Linked DNA regions of Arabidopsis thaliana. Each later gene encodes a partner of the first gene's protein in a complex. Each region holds a gene or a part of one and is shown on either strand. Other genes may lie near its edges.

Region 1 (6,525 bases):
CATTATCAGTGTTTTATTGGTGTCCTGCAGTGGACAAACATCGGTATTTTAATCTCCTCTCGATAATGAAGTGTTTCTTGTTCTCTGGTGGGGATAAGAGAGGGGAACAGAAGACCCCTATTTCGGTTTCATTGACCTCTATCTTCTCTGACCGCGAAATAAACCGAAGCGGGTCAGAGTTCAACTCTCGTGATGTCTCTGGGACGAGCACAGAATCATCCATGGGGAGGAAGAACTCGTACCCTCCGGTGTCTACTAGAGCAAGTAATCTCAGAGAGTTCAGCATTACTGATCTCAAGTCTGCAACAAAGAACTTTAGCCGATCTGTTATGATTGGAGAAGGCGGTTTCGGTTGTGTCTTCAGGGGCACAGTGAGGAACTTAGAGGACTCGTCAGTTAAAATCGAAGTCGCAGTGAAGCAGCTCGGTAAAAGAGGGTTGCAGGTATGTCTGTTTTTTCCAATCTTGTTCTCAAGATCTGTTACTCATCCACTGGTTTAACACTATTATCTCATTTCTTGGATGTTGCAGGGGCATAAGGAATGGGTTACGGAAGTGAACTTCCTCGGAATAGTTGAGCATACAAACTTGGTGAAATTGCTTGGCTATTGTGCAGAAGATGATGAACGTGGAATCCAACGGCTTTTGGTTTATGAATACATGCCTAACCGAAGTGTTGAATTCCACTTATCCCCTCGGTCACTCACAGTTCTTACTTGGGACCTCAGACTGAGAATCGCCCAAGATGCAGCTCGCGGATTAACATACCTGCATGAAGAAATGGAGTTTCAGGTAATATGATGACTCTGCTACGTTACTGATCTCATTTCACTCTCTTGACTAACTTTTATTTATTGGCTTTTCAGATAATATTCCGCGATTTCAAGTCCTCGAACATTCTTTTGGATGAGGACTGGAAAGCAAAGCTCTCAGATTTCGGTTTGGCTCGTTTAGGTCCATCTGAAGGATTAACCCATGTTTCTACTGATGTAAGTTCTGCATTCACTTCTTTTGGTTGCAAGATTGAAAAACAGGTATGTTTTTGAACGGGTTTCTTTGGCTTTATTAGGTTGTAGGTACAATGGGTTATGCAGCACCTGAATACATTCAAACCGGCCGTCTCACATCGAAAAGCGATGTGTGGGGTTATGGAGTCTTCCTCTATGAGCTTATCACTGGGAGGCGACCGGTGGACAGAAACAGACCCAAGGGAGAGCAGAAGCTTCTAGAATGGGTGAGACCTTATTTATCTGACACAAGGAAGTTCAAGCTCATATTAGATCCAAGGCTGGAAGGGAAGTACCCGATCAAATCGGTTCAAAAGCTAGCAGTTGTGGCCAACAGATGTTTGGTTAGGAACTCAAAGGCACGTCCCAAGATGAGTGAGGTTTTAGAGATGGTGAACAAAATTGTGGAAGCTTCTTCAGGAAATGGCAGCCCACAGCTAGTTCCGCTGAACAGTGTAAAAGCTTCGAGAGACGCGAGAGGAAAGAACAATGGTGGTGGCGGTGAAGGAGGTTGGTTTGGCAAGTTATGGAATCCAAAGACAATAAGAGCTTGTTGACTGCTTATAGAATTCAACCTCTTCTTACAGCAAAAAAAAGAGTCAAGAAAGGTTTCATGGAGATTCCGAAGGTTGAAGATTCTAGCGAGATCAAGATGAAGCTCATATACATACATAAAGATAATTATATATGAAGATTTGTGAAAGATTCTAAAATGATGAAATATGATTTTTGTATGAACTTATGAATAGTAACCACAGCTAAATTAGTAAGATATGTATATTAAGCAAGAACGGCTTATCAGAGTTTTGTTCCAAAGCTGATCAATCTACTCGTGCTTAAGTGTATATTTGTGGTAATGTGTTAAGAGTTCCTATTAATTACCATAAGTAAATCACAAACATAAATAAAATGAAAATAATTATGGGCTTTAAGGTCTGGAGGACTACTGAAATTTGGGAGAAGTAGTTGGAAAAAGAATATTAGTCGATAGGTAGGAAATTGATATTGCTTGTGGAATGGAGGAAAAAATTGAACGAAAAAGAAGTTTCTAGAATTCTAATCACATAACATAAATAGGGTGAATATTTGGGAAAAGTAAAACAATAGGGGTCGGTTTGATATTACTAGAAGATAAGAAACAAAAAGGAAAATAAGAATAAAGGAAAAAAAAAGAGCTCTCTTTTCCAACAAGAAACGTAGAGAGATATAATTAGAGAAAATCTGTGCTCTTTCAGATCCCATTATCACAAATCCATCTCTCTCTCTCTCTCAGAGAAGAAACCAAAGAAGAAGAAAAAGCTCTCAACTTTCTTCGATTTCTCAGGGAACTCTTTCGTTAATCTCAAACTCAATCATGTCTACCCCAGCTGAATCTTCAGACTCGTAAGTACCCAGATCTCTGATTTTGGTTTTCCGATCGGGATTTTTTTCGGATCTTCTTAAAGTCTGGGTTTTTCGATTTTGGGGATTAGGGTTTTGGTTGATCTTGTGTTTCTATAGTTGAATCTTAATCTTCTTTGTTGTTGTTACAGGAAATCGAAGAAAGATTTCAGTACTGCTATTCTCGAGAGGAAGAAGTCTCCGAACCGTCTCGTCGTCGATGAGGCTATCAACGATGATAACTCCGTCGTCTCTCTTCACCCTGCAACCATGGAGAAGCTTCAGCTCTTCCGTGGTGATACCATTCTCATCAAGGTTTGGGTTTGCTTTTGTTTGTTTGGATTCTCTTTTGATTGAGATATTGAATGGTTGGTTTCTGTCTCTATGAAGAGACATAATTTAGGGTTTTTTCTCCTTGCTTGATTAATGGATTCTTATGTGGTTCTACATAAACTAGGGTTTGTGGTCTTTTGAAACAAGTGATTTATGATCTTAGGTATTATACAAAATAAAAAGACTTGCTTTTGTACTGATCCTGTCTTGGTGAATGATTCGTATTAGTAGTCTTTATGAGTTCTTATTTGGTTTGGATTTTGGCTTTCAGGGTAAGAAGAGGAAGGACACTGTCTGCATTGCTCTTGCTGATGAGACATGTGAGGAGCCAAAGATCAGAATGAATAAAGTAGTCAGATCTAACTTGAGGGTTAGACTGGGAGATGTTATATCTGTTCACCAATGCCCAGACGTCAAGTACGGAAAGCGTGTTCACATCCTGCCTGTTGATGATACTGTTGAAGGAGTGACTGGAAACCTATTTGATGCTTACCTGAAACGTAAGTTGCCTTTTTGTTTTAGATCCTTATCCAGTTATGCAATTTTGATTTTTCTTTGGATGTTCTTGTTTGGTTTGAGATATTATTAGAGTGATTTCTTAACAAAGATTGAATTCTTTTCAACAGCTTATTTCCTTGAGGCATACCGTCCAGTGAGGAAGGGTGATCTCTTCCTAGTCAGAGGAGGAATGAGGAGTGTGGAGTTCAAAGTTATAGAGACAGATCCTGCTGAGTACTGCGTGGTTGCTCCAGACACAGAGATTTTCTGTGAGGGTGAGCCTGTGAAGAGAGAGGATGAAGAAAGGCTAGATGATGTAGGTTATGATGATGTTGGTGGTGTCAGGAAACAGATGGCTCAGATTAGGGAACTTGTTGAACTTCCCTTGAGGCATCCACAGCTATTCAAGTCGATTGGTGTTAAGCCACCGAAGGGAATTCTTCTTTATGGACCACCTGGGTCTGGAAAGACTTTGATCGCTCGTGCTGTGGCTAATGAAACGGGTGCCTTTTTCTTCTGTATCAACGGACCTGAGATCATGTCCAAATTGGCTGGTGAGAGTGAGAGCAACCTCAGGAAAGCATTCGAGGAGGCTGAGAAAAATGCGCCTTCAATCATATTCATTGATGAGATCGACTCTATTGCACCGAAAAGAGAGAAGACTAATGGAGAGGTTGAGAGGAGGATTGTCTCTCAGCTCCTTACGCTAATGGATGGACTGAAATCTCGTGCTCATGTTATCGTCATGGGAGCAACCAATCGCCCCAACAGTATCGACCCAGCTTTGAGAAGGTTTGGAAGATTTGACAGGGAGATCGATATTGGAGTTCCTGACGAAATTGGACGTCTTGAAGTTCTGAGGATCCATACAAAGAACATGAAGCTGGCTGAAGATGTAATTTTCTAGTCATAGCTTTTTCTGTGTTTGTTGAGTGTAATGTTTATTGAATGCTAAATTCTTCTTGTGGTTGTTTTCCAGGTGGATCTCGAAAGGATCTCAAAGGACACACACGGTTACGTCGGTGCTGATCTTGCAGCTTTGTGCACAGAGGCCGCCCTGCAATGCATCAGGGAGAAGATGGATGTGATTGATCTGGAAGATGACTCCATAGACGCTGAAATCCTCAATTCCATGGCAGTCACTAATGAACATTTCCACACTGCTCTCGGGAACAGCAACCCATCTGCACTTCGTGAAACTGTGAGTATTGACAGTACTCTGCTTAGAACGAGATCAAAGATTGTATCTTTGCGTAAATCTCATTCCAAATTTTCTTCTTTGCTTTGCAGGTTGTGGAGGTTCCCAACGTCTCTTGGAATGATATTGGAGGTCTTGAGAATGTCAAGAGAGAGCTCCAGGAGGTAAATTGCTAATATTTACTTTTGCTTGGGTCTGTCTATTAATTGTAATTTGTAACCTGAGCCGTGTGATTGTTCAAATGCAGACTGTTCAATACCCAGTCGAGCACCCAGAGAAGTTTGAGAAATTCGGGATGTCTCCATCAAAGGGAGTCCTTTTCTACGGTCCTCCTGGATGTGGGAAAACCCTTTTGGCCAAAGCTATTGCCAACGAGTGCCAAGCTAATTTCATCAGTGTCAAGGGTCCCGAGCTTCTGACAATGTGGTTTGGAGAGAGTGAAGCAAATGTTCGTGAAATCTTCGACAAGGCCCGTCAATCCGCTCCATGTGTTCTTTTCTTTGATGAGCTCGACTCCATTGCAACTCAGAGAGGAGGTGGAAGTGGTGGCGATGGAGGTGGTGCTGCGGACAGAGTCTTGAACCAGCTTTTGACTGAGATGGACGGAATGAATGCCAAGAAAACCGTCTTCATCATCGGAGCTACCAACAGACCTGACATTATCGATTCAGCTCTTCTCCGTCCTGGAAGGCTTGACCAGCTCATTTACATTCCACTACCAGATGAGGATTCCCGTCTCAATATCTTCAAGGCCGCCTTGAGGAAATCTCCTATTGCTAAAGATGTAGACATCGGTGCACTTGCTAAATACACTCAGGGTTTCAGTGGTGCTGATATCACTGAGATTTGCCAGAGAGCTTGCAAGTACGCCATCAGAGAAAACATTGAGAAGGTTAGAGATCCCATCGCCAAGCTCTTTATCCAAAGATTGTTATACTCTCCAATCGTTGAACTGAAGCTCATGTTTTTTTTTTGTTTCAGGACATTGAAAAGGAGAAGAGGAGGAGCGAGAACCCAGAGGCAATGGAGGAAGATGGAGTGGATGAAGTATCAGAGATCAAAGCTGCACACTTTGAGGAGTCGATGAAGTATGCGCGTAGGAGTGTGAGTGATGCAGACATCAGGAAGTACCAAGCCTTTGCTCAGACGTTGCAGCAGTCTAGAGGGTTCGGTTCTGAGTTCAGGTTCGAGAATTCTGCTGGTTCAGGTGCCACCACTGGAGTCGCAGATCCGTTTGCCACGTCTGCAGCCGCTGCTGGGGACGATGATGATCTCTACAATTAGTGATAACTTCTTTATCCTTTTTTTTTTTAAGTTTTAAAACTCGAATTCTCTACTTTTGGATTACTGGGGAAAGTGATACTGATTCTTTCCTCGTGTTTTTAAGTTATCCGAATCTCTTGTGTTTGGGTTTTAATCAATGTTCTTAATTTTCGTTTCAATACTTGTTTGGTCGTTCATTACAAATGGAAAAAATAAAGGATTATAAAGTAAGTTAAAAAGATTGCAAGTGATAAGTAATTGCTTTATAAGTGGTAAGTATCACAAATGTTCCCACTTATCAGCAATTTCCGCATATCAATGTTAATGCTCTAAGATCGGTACTTTCTTTTATAGAATCTTGGAGCCGAGGATGTATTTTTTTTTGCATCAATGGTGGTTAAAGAAGCCAAAAGAAAGGATGCTTTATTATGTCAACAACATTGATGTCAAGATAACAACAAAGCTGCTCCCAAGTCTTAAACATAAATTGAACAAAGGCCACATGTTGAAGATTGAAGATGAACATACTTAAAAACGATATCTTACTGTTCTTGTTCAAACATTGACCGTTAAATACTTCAATGTTTAGCCTTCAGCACCTATTCCACGTGCTCTAGGACGTCTGACAGCGACCAGCGGATTGACTATGCCTTGTGACTCTCTACCCAGACCCGAGCCTTCGACGAAACCCATTCTCGCCATCATCCTCGACCCAAAGCCTGTTGTGTGCTGCTCAAAGGCTCCCAATCTTTTGTCCCTGATTCTTCCTGAACCAGAGGCACCATTGTCATGGGTGATGCGTTTCCCATGTTTCCCGGAGGACGAAGATCTGTTCCGTTTAGCGTTG
Region 2 (5,025 bases), on another chromosome or scaffold:
CTAGTTATTTTATGAATATATAAATATGAATACGAAAGACATTTTATGTAATTTTTGGTATATTAGTTAGAATATATTTGTATATTAGTTAGAATATATTCATATTATTTTATATTTTAATACAAAATTATCATGGAAACGCACATCAAATTATGAACAGAAAATATTACATTAGATAGTAAATTGCATTAAAATATTTTTCAGTGACAAAATGGAAACGAATTAGGAATTTGAAGTAGAGGCCAAGTCAATGAATATCTAGTCATTATATTAGTGTTGTTAGTTAGAAGCTAATATTGTTGCTGGTGAGGTGAGAAGTGTGAATATCGTTTGCACCAAACATATTCGTGGACTACAATATAATTAGCTTGAGAACACCGAATTTTCAGAACCCCCTGCATAAGCATAAGATCATGTGATTGTCATATGCAATCATTAGATAACTAACATGAGGAGACTCATCTCAAGTCTTTTTGGCTATCGAAAATCATTTGCTACATAATAGTTAAAAGGAGAGCACACATATTGTGATCCATTCATCTATTTGCATTTAGACTGAAAAGGAAAACTCTTAACAAAAGAACTGAAAACCAAAAAGTTCAAAGAAAAGAAACCCGTAAAAATAATACCACTACTTAAGAAAATCCAAATACAATTAAACTTCAAGAATAAACATCTTTAAAATCATATAAAGCTTTTAACATGACAAGCTTTATATAAATAATGAACGTGGACTGGAATCACGTGTGAGCGAGCAACTTTGGTTTTTACAGTATCTTTCTCTGAAAAGATTGGTGGAAGAAAAAGAAAAGTTGGAGTAATGTATGAGAAAACAACTAAATGTCTCAGAATTCGACCAAAGACTGTTATTTTTATAAATAGTTTTCATGCATGCAATGCAGACAAAGTGGTCCAAGTACACTTTTGATATTTTGCATCTCTTTGCGTAATGAGAGATTCGACTTCTTTGATACGTGTGTGCTTCTCTATGGTCGCATTCTTCCACAGCCTATGTTGCACAGATTTTCTTGGTTTGACTGGATTTTATATACGTAACAACATTGACGATTTTTATTATTCACAGTTTCACACCGACAAAAAATCCACGAATTTTGGGTTCCAACTTGATTTTGACGATACAGTAGAAGGATCATAATTTAACCAGAGGAGCCTTAAGGAGAAAGATGTTTTTAAGGCTTGAGCAGAGTCGAGACAATAAATATTAAGAGCACAGAGGTTTAGTAGAGTAGATAAATCATCAAGCTGTGCACAATCATAATCATCATAAACACTTCAATCTTTTTTCACAGTTTTTGAGCAAAGGTTATGGGGATTTTGAGATCGATTTGGTGGCAGAAACATCGCGTAACAACCCTCCCCCCCTTCATCTAGATCCTCAGGCCTCGTCCATCTGCTCCTGTTACATAGAGTAGTAATAACTCAGCACACACGGTTTTGCGGTTATTTCAGTTTTAACATGTTCTTTGATGTCTCTTATATGATGCATCTGATTGGTCTATGATGGAAACACTAATCACACTAAGATATGATCTTTATAGTTATTCGAATGGTGTAGAATATCGAGGTACGGCATAAAGAGATGTGAATACCTGCATATCGGAGGTCCAAAGGGTTAAATTGTCCCTCAGCAACTGCATTATGAGAGTGCTGTCTTTGTAGGATTCCTCTCCCAGAGTGTCAAGCTCAGCTATGGCCTCCTCAAAAGCCTACAATTAAAAATCCAGTATCAAAATTGAGAATGCCCCCACAGTGAAAAATTTCTGCCGTTTTACTAAATGTCTTATACGTAAGTTCTAGTTGAAACAGAATGAGACATCAGTCCTAGTATTGGACAACATGGATCTTCATCATCATATTAGTCTGTGATTATTAAAAAAGAGGAATTTTGTTAAAAAAGCTGACTCAAAGTGATACTAGATGAAGCACCATGAATCAAAGAGTGGTTCTTTATCTAACAAAACATACTCAGGAGATAAAGGTACAACAGAAATAGTCAACAAGTGGTCAATCCTCTTAGTCAAAACATCAAGCAAGCTCATTCAAAGTGATAAGAAATGATGATACACAGAGGGCCAAAGATTGGTTCTTTACCCAACAATACATCTTAAGAAAAGAAAAAAGTACAACAAGACTAGTCAACAAGTGGTCAATTCTCTTTTGTAATAACATAAAGCAAGAAACAGAAGCAAACTCTCAAGAGACAAACTCAGGTCAACGACTTATATGTTTGTTACCAGAGAGGCAACGGAAAGAGAGAGAAAGAGATGTTCCTAATTGAGGCAAGCAGCGAAAAAGAAAGAAGAAGAGTAACCTGTTTGGCCATGTTACAAGCTTTGTCTGAAGAATTGAGAATCTCATAGTAGAACACTGAGAAATTCAGGGCCAGACCAAGCCTTATCGGATGAGTAGGTGCCATATCCGCAGCTGCGATATCCTTCAAAAAACATCACATCGAAAAATAGACAAAAACATCTCCATCAGTTTGAAGAAAGCAATTTTTACTCTTTAAGACAAAAACTGAAACAAAACAGCAATCTACTTTCTCATGATTTGATAAGCATAGTAGCTCAATTAGAGACCAATTCTAGATCAGGACATAATTACTAGATTTGGAAGCTATTACCAATAGAAGAAATCTCGTAAACAGAGTTCACAAACAAAACTTATCAGCCAAATCAGATTTGGAGAATGAAAATAACCTGAGCTGCTTTGTAAGCGAGCATGGTATCTTCAGCAGCAGTTTTCCTCTCATCACCAGACTTAAACTCAGCCATGTACCGATGATAATCACCTTTCATCTTCAAGTAAAAGACCTTAGACTCACTCGCTCCAGCAGATGGGATCAGATGCGAGTCAAGGAGCTTAAGGATTCCAGAGCAAACAGAAGAAAGCTCAGACTCAACTTTAGATCTGTAATCCTTGACAAGCGACACGTGCTCGTCGTTCTTCCTACTCTCTTCCTTCTGCTCAATCGAAGACACGATCCTCCAGGCGGCGCGTAGAGATCCGATCACGTTTTTGTAAGCAACAGAGAGGAGATTCCTCTCTTCAACGGTGAGCTCTTCCGCTGGAGTAGCGCCTGTAACGAGCTGTTCCATGAATTGAACCATCTCTTCGTAACGCTCCGCCTGCTCGGCGAGCTTCGCCATGTACACATACTGGTCTCTGCCTAATGTCGCCGCCATTAGAGAGAGAAAGAGAGAGATTTGATTTTTTTTTGTTTAATGGGGAAAATTTGAAGAAAATGGGAAAGAGAAAGAGAGAAGAAGAATAAAGGGCAAAGAGTCAGGTGGGCTATTAAAAATAGATGTATATTAAACCCACGCGCAAGTGTGTTCACTTTCGATTATACGACGGCGTTTGATGTTATAGTCTTTCGTAGAGTGAGGAGCGTGGTTTGTGTTGGCGAGTGGGATGGTTGGGAGGGTTTGGGGTTTGTGATAAGAGCGAGTGAATGGACGATAATAGTTTTTTAGTGAGTCAGCTTCTAGTCACTAGTTTTAAAGTCAGAACTCTGATTGGGCCTTTATTAGGCCTAATATGGGCCTTATGAATTCCAATACTTATGAAGTTTGTAATACACACCTTTTTTTTTGTTGTTGCATAAAATGCGAAAACTTTTTCTTAAAGAGAAATAAAGTACATAATTTAAAAGACTAAAGTATATATTCTTTTAATATTAAAGTATATTAACCAAAATGGAAATCAATAGTTAGTAGTAGTGTCGTCTGCAAAGGAAAAAAGTGAAAAATAAAAAGACAAAGTCCGAGAAAGGAGACTTTTTAATACGTTCATGTGGTCAACCGTCACCGTGAGTCCAGAAGGAATTTTTTTTTGCATCGACGGATGGGAACAAGCTCCGTCTCTCGGCCGTTATGTTTTCTTTCGGCCTTTACTTTGGACTTTCACAACTCATTTTTCTTTTTCTTTTTCTCTTTCACAACTCTTTATCACTGCAAAAAACAATAAGGATATGCCTTTTTGATTCTTATCTTGTTATTGTTATATGATGATTTACAGGTTTTAGATGAGATATTTGTGACTCGAATGCAAAGCTTAATCGGGAATTCGTTAAAGGACGAAAATTTGGAGGCACCAAGATTGATAATGGAGCTTCGGTCTATGCTTTTGTAAACGCTATATGGAAAACTGCATACTGTACTACTTGGAGAAGAAGAGAGAAAAAATATGTTGATAGAAACCATACTTTGAACATTCAGCTATAAGAGTTGGGCATGGTGTAGTTAGATTAGTGATGACTCATATGTTCATTTTGGTTCTATTGTTAATAAAATGTATATATATATATATATAAACTCAGCGATCGTTTCAAGTTTCTATAAATCTGATATACAAATTCATCACTGTTGCCACCAAAATAAGAATGAAAGAGAGAAGGGGCGCTTTGGTCAACTGAGCGGTTGTTTGTTTAAAGGGCGGGAAATTGTTTTGAAAGACAAAATATTAAAAAAATATCGTCGCCTGAGAGATTCGAACTCTCGCGGGGAAACCCCATGTACTTAGCAGGCACACGCCTTAACCACTCGGCCAAAGCGACTATGTTGTTTGCTGAAGGATTAGCTACTATATAATGTTGTTTTACATAAGTAAAGCGTGGAGCTTACTCGCGTATGTTGCGCGTACGTATGCGTTGTGCTTGTGGTAAAGTGAAAAACACTTTGTGGTTTGTTTTTCGATTGGTCCAGTTCTCTTCAGTTCTTCTTCTTCTCGTCACAGGAAGAAAAATGTTCTGTTCCTCGCAGCTCTCACAGCCAATGAATGGCCTCAAAGACATAGTTGAGACGAGAAATTTTAAGGTTTGACCTTCAATTTACTGTCTTCTTATGTGCTCTCTGACTTTCTCCTCCTCTTATGACGAGCGAAGCCATTAACATATCTATGTTAGTCTGATGATCCGATTGTCTACAAAATCATCATGTTTTCGATTCACTTCATCTTGTTAACTAATGGGCTTCACGTATTGTATAATATTAGCCTTGTAAT

Evidence for each region.
Region 2: CDC48 (region 1) and GRF6 share a complex: the UniProt entries of both Arabidopsis thaliana proteins name them as parts of the SERK1 signaling complex.

Annotation. Positions count from the first base shown.
Region 1 is NC_003074.8:3,017,134-3,023,658, forward strand, and holds CDC48 (cell division cycle 48), read left to right. Parts: upstream 1-2,115; 5' UTR 2,116-2,360; coding exon 2,361-2,389; intron 2,390-2,538; coding exon 2,539-2,701; intron 2,702-2,990; coding exon 2,991-3,219; intron 3,220-3,345; coding exon 3,346-4,112; intron 4,113-4,196; coding exon 4,197-4,418; intron 4,419-4,507; coding exon 4,508-4,579; intron 4,580-4,662; coding exon 4,663-5,307; intron 5,308-5,396; coding exon 5,397-5,699; 3' UTR 5,700-5,919; downstream 5,920-6,525. Other genes in the region: AT3G09830 (Protein kinase superfamily protein), read left to right, coding at 66-443, 531-791, 866-988, 1,069-1,563; AT3G09850 (D111/G-patch domain-containing protein), read right to left, coding at 6,264-6,525. UniProt on the Arabidopsis thaliana protein: Probably functions in cell division and growth processes. Interacts with certain SNAREs as part of specialized membrane fusion events where vesicles from the same organelle fuse (homotypic fusion).
Region 2 is NC_003076.8:3,283,056-3,288,080, forward strand, and holds GRF6 (G-box regulating factor 6), read right to left. Parts: upstream 3,293-5,025; 5' UTR 3,207-3,292; coding exon 2,721-3,206; intron 2,456-2,720; coding exon 2,333-2,455; intron 1,728-2,332; coding exon 1,611-1,727; coding exon of another isoform or gene 1,560-1,610; exon of another isoform or gene 1,517-1,559; coding exon 1,421-1,516; 3' UTR 1,418-1,420; coding exon of another isoform or gene 1,397-1,417; 3' UTR 798-1,396; downstream 1-797. Other genes in the region: AT5G10460 (Haloacid dehalogenase-like hydrolase (HAD) superfamily protein), read left to right, coding at 4,767-4,838. UniProt on the Arabidopsis thaliana protein: Is associated with a DNA binding complex that binds to the G box, a well-characterized cis-acting DNA regulatory element found in plant genes. Specific negative regulator of slow-vacuolar (SV) ion channel.